Linked DNA regions of Caenorhabditis elegans. The protein of the gene in region 2 purifies or fractionates together with the protein of the main gene of each other region. This does not show direct contact. Each region holds a gene or a part of one and is shown on either strand. Other genes may lie near its edges.

Evidence for each region.
Region 1: the proteins of W04A8.3 (region 2) and fbxa-111 fractionate together in Caenorhabditis elegans (co-fractionation; one large-scale study listed by BioGRID). This does not show direct contact.

The regions. Positions count from the first base shown.
Region 1 is NC_003283.11:16,946,621-16,951,555, forward strand, and holds fbxa-111 (F-box domain-containing protein), read right to left. Parts: upstream 3,090-4,935; 5' UTR 3,055-3,089; coding exon 3,014-3,054; intron 2,962-3,013; coding exon 2,884-2,961; intron 2,835-2,883; coding exon 2,255-2,834; intron 2,207-2,254; coding exon 2,039-2,206; 3' UTR 1,492-2,038; coding exon of another isoform or gene 1,451-1,491; 3' UTR 1,264-1,450; coding exon of another isoform or gene 783-1,263; 3' UTR 733-782; coding exon of another isoform or gene 538-732; 3' UTR 522-537; downstream 1-521. Other genes in the region: fbxa-112 (DUF38 domain-containing protein), read right to left, coding at 538-732, 783-1,263, 1,451-1,491.
Region 2 is NC_003279.8:13,844,058-13,848,784, forward strand, and holds W04A8.3 (F-box domain-containing protein), read right to left. Parts: upstream 2,901-4,727; 5' UTR 2,870-2,900; coding exon 2,790-2,869; intron 1,552-2,789; coding exon 693-1,551; 3' UTR 682-692; downstream 1-681.

The DNA.
Region 1 (4,935 bases), on a different chromosome or scaffold from region 2:
AAATTCAACAATAAAATGAGAAATAATTTTGAAAAAAAAACAGAAAGTTTGTAGTGGAATGCATTTTTCAGTTACTTCCGCTGTAGTTTTGTTTGGAAAATTTCTGAACATCTGGCTGGATTAGTTTGCACATATAGATCGTTCCGAAATGAGGTCATCTTCCCACAATTAACTGTCATTCTGCATTTTGTATCTAAACGTACACGTGTTGTCAGAATGCCCCATATCGGTTTGATGCCCGAGAATTGCGGGAATTTTGCAGACGCGTCTAGACTCAGACTTCTCAACTGATTTTTTACGGAAGAGTGTGCTGATACATATATTATGGGACAACCTGTCACCAAGTGTACCAAGTGGATCTTTCACAATATCTATTCAATGACGAACACACCTACTGCAACAAGGTGTTCTTCAACTATTTGACTCGCCATATTGGTGACGGTATCGAGACCGAATTAAAAAACGGTATTTTCAAAAAAATTTTCATTTCCAATTGAAAAGAGAACAACAATCACAATCGAAAATAAAAAGGTTTCTTCAAGTCTTTTTGATTATCACCGAGTTAAAGCTGAATGTGAGTTGAAATTGATCGACTTTGAATTCAAGCCCACGAGAACGATAGCGAGGGATTTCATCATTGAATTCTGGAACAAAAACTCTCACAACCTCCTGCGGAATGTTTTCCTTCACATCGATTTGGCCATATTCGAAATGAGCGGACTTCAGAAGAATCTGGAAACAAGTCTTAGATTAATTTAAATATTAAAAGTACTTAAATTCACATCTCTAATTTTAATTGCATCAGAAACTGCCAATTCTCCCAACGGAACACAGAAAACGGTCAGATGGAAGAGGTTTTCAATTGGAAAATTGGAGGAGATTATTGAATAGACATAAATCGATTTCGCTCGTTTCCATTGTTCCGATTCAACTATATCAATGAATTTACAAATTTCTCCCGAATTCTCCACTCCATTTTGTGCAATAATGATTGTTTCGAGAAATTCAGGTTTGAAATGGGACAAGAAAGATAACATACGCTGAACTCCAGGTGCCACCAGTTGGACATGTTTGCAGTGAGTCTGATTTTTCGATTGGACTAGTTCTTCGAACCACTTAACTATTGTGTTATGATTGTGGTAAACTATGATATCCAATGAATCCAACTGAAGTTCCGAATTCTTCATCAACACTGATAAACACCCCAGGAGTGAATCCAAATGAGTATTTTTCTTCGATTTGCACACGCCGCGGAGAATACATCTGAAAATTTGTTATCTTGATTCAAATGACAAAAACTGAGGTTATATTACTTATTTTTGAAATCCATTTTGTCAACAATCTTGCTGGTTTTAGAAATTGGCATGGAATTTTTTTGATCTACATAGATATGTTTATGATGTTGCTTTCTCTGCGTTTCGGGTAAAAAATATTTGAAAAAAAAACTAACATTTTGCAAGATTCCAACTGATTCAGCAGGTTGTCGGTCATTTTTCGGGTTCTGAAAACTAACAGAGAATATTGTCACACTTGATAAACGAAGAGCACGCACAAGTGAGCAAAATATCATATCAGAAACCTTGCTCTGGAACATTCTTGAAACTTCTATGAAGAAAGTTCAGGAACGTGTCAAAAAGAAAAATTAGATTTAGAGACTTCTAGAAAAAAGTGAACCTTTTGAAAGTTTAAATTAGAAAAAATAAAAGCAATTTCAATTTACTATTAGCAACAAAACCTAACAAGCTCCACCCACTTTAAAAATGTTCATTGTTTAACAAACACCTATGAGCTATTTTTCAAGGGATTGTCTGTGTATCATATTTACTCAGTGTTTCTCTCATTATCTCTCAATATTTTTCAGAGAACGACTGATCAGACCAAAATGACCAACCTAATGAATCAGTTGTATTCTTGTAAGATGCCATTTTTTCACGCTTTACAGAAAATAACTGTGTACTTCTGAAGTTGAAGCGGCATATTTTTCAAACAAATTGTTAATTTTCATTTGAAAAAATCAACCAGAATAGAAAAGATTTCTTTAAATCTTTTTAACGTTCAACGAATTTAACTTAAAAGTGAGTTCAAAATTGTCATAGCGAAAAATATTATCGTTGAATTCTGGGTTGAAAACTCTCAAAACATCATCCTGGATTTTGTTTTTTACATTGATTTGACCAGCTTCAAAATGTACGGATTTCAGGAGAATCTGAAAACAATTCGATTGGCTTTTAGAATACAAGTTTTTAAAGCTCACATTTCTGATTTTAAGTGCATCAAAAACTGTTAATTCTTCTAGTGACACAGAGAATTTGCACAGATGAAAAAGGTCTTCAATGGGAAAAGTGAAGTAACTCAATTTGTTCATTGAATGCAAAGTAATTGATTTTGCTTGTTTCCATTGTTCCGTTTCAATTATATCAAATGCTTCATCGTTTCCTACTTGCTCGAACGTAGTTATGACAATCTCTTCTAGAATTCCAGGTTTAAAAAGGGGCAAGAAAGTTAACACATCATCAAATTCAAACAGATAAAGTCCAAAATGTTTGCAGTGAATCTGATAATCTAATCTAGCAATTTCCTCAAACGAATCCACTACAGTTTCCTGATGTTTTCCTGATGTTGAGGCATAAAATGATTTCAACTGAAGTTTCGGGTTCTTCCACAAACTTGCCAAATCATCCAGTATAGCATACAGATTGTAGTCAAACTCAAATGTTGAGTTGATAGTAAGAACACTTTGGTTTGACTGGAAAAGAACATGTACTTGCTCAATTTCCGGGTCTCTGTTATCAATGACGTTTCTCAGATTCCGACACACTCTCCGGAGAGAAAATCTGTTGGAAAATAGTTCAGATTAGGTGGATTAACAAAAAAAAAGTATACCGAAAGATTGGATCCAACTTGTCAAGAATCCTGTTGATAATATCCAATGGCATACCAGATAGCGAGGGAGCGTGGGCGCTGAAAAACATAAGTTTTTTGAAATAAATAATATTTCTGTTGAAAAACTAACATCTTGCAAGAATTCAACTGTTTCGTCAGGTTTTCGGTCATTTTTTTGGGAAATTAGATGAAGAGCCGTAACTTTCTGGAAAAATAATAAGGAATATTATGACAGTTGAGAAAGACAAATTAAAAGTAAACTGAAGGAAAATAACTTTTATTGTAAGATATGGTCAGTAAATTTAAAAAGGAGCCTGCAACTATTTGAAAAGAAAAAGGATAAGATAAGATGAGCAAGAGAAAAGTTCGGTGTAACTCAATAAAATACACAGACAAGACTTTTAAACACTCAAGGATGTTTGTTTTCTTTACGGTTTCGAAATGATCGATCGGTTTGCACGCCAGTGGAGGTTGGAAAACTTTTGTTGCTAGGAAGTTTATAGACTGTTAACTATAAGACATATTAATGGATGTTGTAAGGATCTTTGCCTTACTCGACCTCATATTTCGATCATTAAATAAGCTAAATAAATCAATACATTTATTTCCTTCTTTACGGTAGTATTTTACAGAGTTCCGACGATTCGCTCACGCTCATCGACTGCACACGCTCAATACTAGACCCACACGCACACAGGAGGAGAGTTGATCTTGACCCACAGCGGGCGCGCACGGATTCTAATTTCCCTGCTTTCTCTGCGTCTCTCGCCGGCGTATATAAGGCGGCGAGAGCGCTCATTCGAGGCCTTTTTACCATTTATCATTCCATTTCTCACTATGATCGATCGGTTTGCACGCCAGTGGAGGTTGGAAAACTTTTGTTGCTAGGAAGTTTATAGACTGTTAACTATAAGACATATTAATGGATGTAATACATTTCAGACTTTTTCTCCGATTGTAAAACTTCAAACATCCGGGCGGAGAAAAATAAATTTAGCTTTTCATAAAAATGACTTTTTTCCTAGAGATCTTCAAAATCATTTCGCAAGGATGTAACTGGCTGTGATATGTATGGCGCAATTGATTGTCCCAGTATCTAAAAGAAAGATCATAGGGTTCTTTAATGTTTCCCGAATATCCACACCGCATTGTTCAATCAAAATTGTTACGAGAACTTCAGGTTTGAAATGTGGTAAGATAGGTATTACGATGAACTGCAGCTAGATACCTCCAATCAGACACATTCGCAGTAAATCTGTTTTCTCAATTCGGTTCAAAACAGATAGTTGATTTACGGAAAAGTTTTTATGTTCCTACTTTAGGTGATAAAGTAAGAAAAAATAGCAAAATACTTCCTCCTTAGCTGAATCAAATGATCAGAAAGAATTTCTTTGCTAAAGATCTTCATAGGCATCTTGTAAAGATAAAACTGGATTAAATAGGTATGGCGCAACAGATTGTCCCGAGAGAAAGCCAACAGAGATGACCGATTATCGACCTATCCCTCACCTTTTTTTACTGTCGCACAACAATGGGAAACTGATTGATCCCAAAGGTCTCCAGATCGATAGTTTTGATTTTCAGAAATTTCTGCTGTGGGGGTAGATAGCTCAGTCGGTAGTGGTGGCCGCTAGCAATCTGTAGGGCACGAGTTCAAGCCAGGCCTCACCCCCTAGGTTCACCTAGCCTCTATTGGGAAGTGGAGCAATCCACGACTGGATTATCGGCCACAGTCCCCGGCTAGGACGTGGCTTAAATTATAGCCAAGTGGGACCACCACCAGATACTGTACCTGATTCCCAGATCCACAGTGCATAACTCTTCAAGAACGGAACATCCTTTAATCCTTTTTGTCCTGACTGTCAGAGCGCTAAGCAGCAAAGAAAAACGTCAATTGTTAGCCAAAGACATGATACTCTATTCCGACAGCGGGACGTCCCGTTCCCGTGAAAACACTCAAAAAACGGGACAACGGGACAAACGGGACTTGACACCCTTGCTTGTCACACGGACAAAAGGTTACTGTAACTTGTGATTAGGTACAGTAAAAGA
Region 2 (4,727 bases):
AAAGTTATCATGAAAACAAACACACTTGAAATAATGTCCTGACCTATTTATCTCTCAAGCCCTATCTCTGAACGGGGAAATCGTCTTCTGTCACACTCTCGACACGAAGGCATAAAAGAGGATTTTTTGGAACAACCCCCTTTATATTATAGACCAGCCGCTCTCTTGGGTTTAATCTTGGGATTAGGCTTAGGCTTAAGCTTAGGCGGTGGGAGGCAATCCGAACTTTCAAGGGATCTCTTGGAAAAAAGTTGTGAAAATGCCATAATCTTCCGAAAGCAGTAAAATACCAACATCCCAGAAACCCCAAAAAACTTGAACATGCCCAAAAAATTGGCGAAAGTCGTTATCCGACCAATAGGCAAAACATTAAAGTGCATATTATTTTGAAAACTTTAGCAGGATGCAAGTTGTGCAGCTGCATCTCCAAAAGGAATAAAATTCAATTCAAACTCAATTGATTGGAGTCTAACAACTAGTCTAACAACTCACGTGGTGTCAGGCTGTCACGTTGCGGTTTGATCTACGAAAAATGCGGGAATATTTTTCCAGAAAAATTGTGACGTCAGCACGATCTTAACCATGCAAAGTCAGATGAGATGTCTGCGTCTCTTCTCCCGCGTTTTTCAAAGATCAAAGCAAACGTGACAACTGTTAAAAATATCAAGACAGTAAATTTAAATGTTTATTTTTTAATTGACATTGATACAGCAACAGGAAGACACAGGAAGATTAGGAAAAAAAGGAAGATTACGATCTGTAAATGTAAATTTAAAGCCATGTTTCCAAATTACAATGTCCTCGTTCCAATAATCAGTGATCCTCATCATGAACTTGTACTCTGGCTTTACAAATGAAGGCCTAAAGCAATTGAACACAGAGCGACGTTCCACTTCTGCTGAATCCGAAATTTCCATATTTTCCATTGACCTCGTACCCTTCACAACTGCAGATGGTACAAGACTGCTCTTCATGTTGGTTGCCGAAAATGACATTAGTCTTCCTTTTTCCTTCAGCTTTTTCAGAAACTTGTTGGCTTGCTTACTGGAAATATTGATACCTTCTAAATTGACAGAAATGTACTTGCTGAGGACCTTCCAGTTGGCACATTTCATGGTCTTTGGCTTGATGACACGAATATCCAAATAATACACATCGAATTTTAGGATACGTTTTAAAAGTTTGCTGGATATGTGTTCATGCTTGAATTTTAATCTAGGTAAGTGTAGAGCCTCCGTTTTCAGAAAATTTAATAGCTGACGGAGTTCAACTTCAATATCCTTTCGATGACTATTAATGAAGAGCGCTTCGAGTTCAAAGGTATGAATATGCATTGAACATTTGACAGTTCCCAGAGCTTGTTTCATGTAATTTCCTCTGTAGAGCACTCGTTTTTCGGAGAAATCATCGAATACTTCAATGTAATCAGGTTGTACATCAATGTTTACTTTTACTCTAGTTGCTTTGCATTCGTTTTCGCGATCTTCAAAATTTCTGATGATTCTTTTAATAAGTTGTTTCGTTTTTTGAGACGTGAAACAAAGAGTGAACCTAAAAATAACTATATATACATACATGAAATACCATTAAAGATGGAGTACCGAATTCTGAGAAACATTTTTTAAATGACTCCAAATTTTCCCCTGATATCGAATATCTAAGTGACAAAATTCAAAAAAATTTCCCTGATTTTATATTAAGGGACCATCAGTTCATGAGAATGCCTGTTTCCTGGCGCGAAACGAACGGCAGCAGAGAGAGCGTGCGGCAAAGAGAGATTTAGGTGCCTTCGCTACGAGATATTCCCGCGCCAAAACGGTAGGCATTCTCATGATCTCATGGATTCTTAATATGTCACCTTGAAATCGCTTGTGCCACGGATTTCTGGTTTCCCTCATAAATTGAAATGTAAGAGTTTGCCGAACTAGGCCATTTTGGCTCCGCCATATCTGCACGTGCTCGATGGTTGTCTCTTTGCATAATTTCGATGAAAACGCGCCCCATTGAGAATAGACGAGGAATGAGACTGTCTCGTCCTCTGCGTCTCTTCTTTCTCACGCTTTTTCTTCTCCGAGAGGACTACGTGAACGGGGGACGAGGAATACTCCTCTTCCACCGTTTTGAAGGACATTTTGCTCAGTTTTTCACGTTTTCTCGTCTGCGAGAAAATAGCAATTTTGAGACAGCCAGCGACCACGTGTATCTGTGATAGATTTACGGCGCGTTGCGTGTCGCGTCGCGGCTCGATCTTAGTTGTAAAACTAAATGTATTTGTCCGTGTGGAGAACACGATTCTCCCACACGTTGTCCGGCGGGCGATTGTCAATGGAGCGCGGAGAATTTAATGAGGAATGCCAGAACCCCGTGCTTGTGCATCCATGAGATTTTTCAAACGCCGAATTTTCGCGCCAAGTGTCGATTTACGAGATTTTCCGTTTTTCAACGATTTTCCTTTATTTACATCGGTTTTTGCATAAATTTAAACATTATATTAACAAAAAACTAACAATATTTCCAATTCTTAGGTCAATAATCAACGTAAATGAAGGAAAATTGTTGACAAGATTGAAAATCTCGTAAATATACACAAATCTCGTAAATCGACACATGGTGCGAAAATTCGAAAAAATCTCATAGATGCACAAGCGATTTCAAGCTGACATATAAAATCAGGGAAATTTTTTTGAATTTTTTCACTTAGATATTCGATATCAGGGGAAAATTTGGAGTGATTTAAAAATATTTCTCAGATTTCGGTACCCCATCTTTAAACAAAAAAGATAACTTACAAATCATAGGTCGGTATACCATCAAGTGCCTCTTTGAGTGGTAATGATGGAAGTTTGCATATTGGAAATGGTGGAGACATTTAAAAAAGAATGGCAGATCGATGAATAACTGGGGACACAACAAGACACTCTGTGCATGCATATCTATTATCGATCTGAATTTGGTGCATATAAGCCTGCACAGAGCAGGTGTGCGTAACAGAGCCTGCCTGCGGAGGGTTGCTCAGTCGGTAGATTTCAGGTGGCAAATTTCTTTGTCGACAAATTCGGCAAATCGAAAAGTTGCCGGTTTGCCGGAACTATTTAGAGATAATTTTATAAGACGGAAACACTTAAAACTTTGCCTTTTTGAATTTTTTTCCCGTTTTTTTAAAAAGATATTTTCATAGAATTTTCTTACTTTTCAAAATAGATGAAGGAACATTCATAGAATGCGTACGATTTTGCCGATTAACATAGAAATTCTGAAAATTTCAAAAACAAAGTGCAAACCCATAATTCACCGGAAATTTTAAGTTCCGGCAAATTCGGCAAATGGGCAATTTGCGGGTTTGCCGATTTGCCGGAACTATTCAGGTCCGGAAATTTGCCGATTTGCCGGTATAATCGTTTGCTGCCAACCGCTAATTCAAATTATGAAAAGATACGGGAAATTTGAGAGAAAAATCGATAATAGGTTCCGCCCGTTACTAGTTTTTTTTTGTTGAATTTTTCAATCGAACTTCTCGTACTTTTTAATGTCGAATTCTGTAAAAATCACAATTTTTGCATTTCTAGTTAGTAACAGTAGCATAAATGGTAGGTAGTAATAAATAGACATTCGACGACTTTTCAAAGCAATTTTATTATTTGGGAAAGTGGAAATGAAACAAGCAATGGAGGATAACAACTCTTGAAACCAATTACAGAACATAGGGAGTGATGTAGTTAATTTAGTGGATAAATTGAAATTTTTTCATGAAATCGAAAAATACGATATCTAGGCTTTCTAACACAAATGGTTAGATAACAACGTGAATCAGTATCTACAAGCCATTTGAACATATCATTTGTAATACTTTCATGAATGAAGATTATATTCGGTATGTCCATATTCATCACCTTCAGGACATCTATCATTTGACGGGCTTCCTCTTCCTTTCGGTGACTTATTGACAGATTTAGGCATCTATTATAACAACGAAAGGTATCTTTAAAAAACTTGACAGACTCGAGAATTTTGTTTGTGTCTTTTCCCTTGTACAAAACCCTATCTTCATGGCTGCCATCGCATATTTTATAATAATCATGTTGTGCAGTTATATTCAGCATTATATAAACAGACTTGCACTTTTTTTGAAAAGTTCAACTCTCCTCCACGGGAAAATTTTTTTGCAAATTTTTTCGTCCCAAAAAAAAAAGGAAAAAAAAACAAAAATAAAAATTTTGGATTTTGGGGGAATTGATATGGTAAAAAATTGCTAATTTTTCTGGAACGAAATACAAAGCGCGTTGAAATTGATTTTAAAAGTATTCGAAAGAAGTATGCTACGTCAAAAAAAAAAACAAATAAACTACTGAGATCTATGATGTGATAAACAAGCACTGCAAACTGAAAACTGAAAAAGAAAATTTTGAACAAAATTTGATATATTTTTAAAACAGTTTTTTTTCCTTTTTTCAAAAAAAATTTTTTTTTTTCATCTGACTTGTAAAGTTTTTTAGGTTTGGTATGTGCTGCCGAAAATGTTTCCACTCGGCACATCGGCATGTGCCGCCTTTTCGACATATTCGCCAAAATTAATTTTTTAATTCTAAAAATGCCAAGAAACTTCAAAAAAATTGATTAATATATGTACCGAATTTATCATTTAAATTTATAGTTTATCAACTTTAATATTGAAACGAACTATAAACGTTTTCTCTGTTCAAAAAACTATTTAGTATCTTTGCAAATGT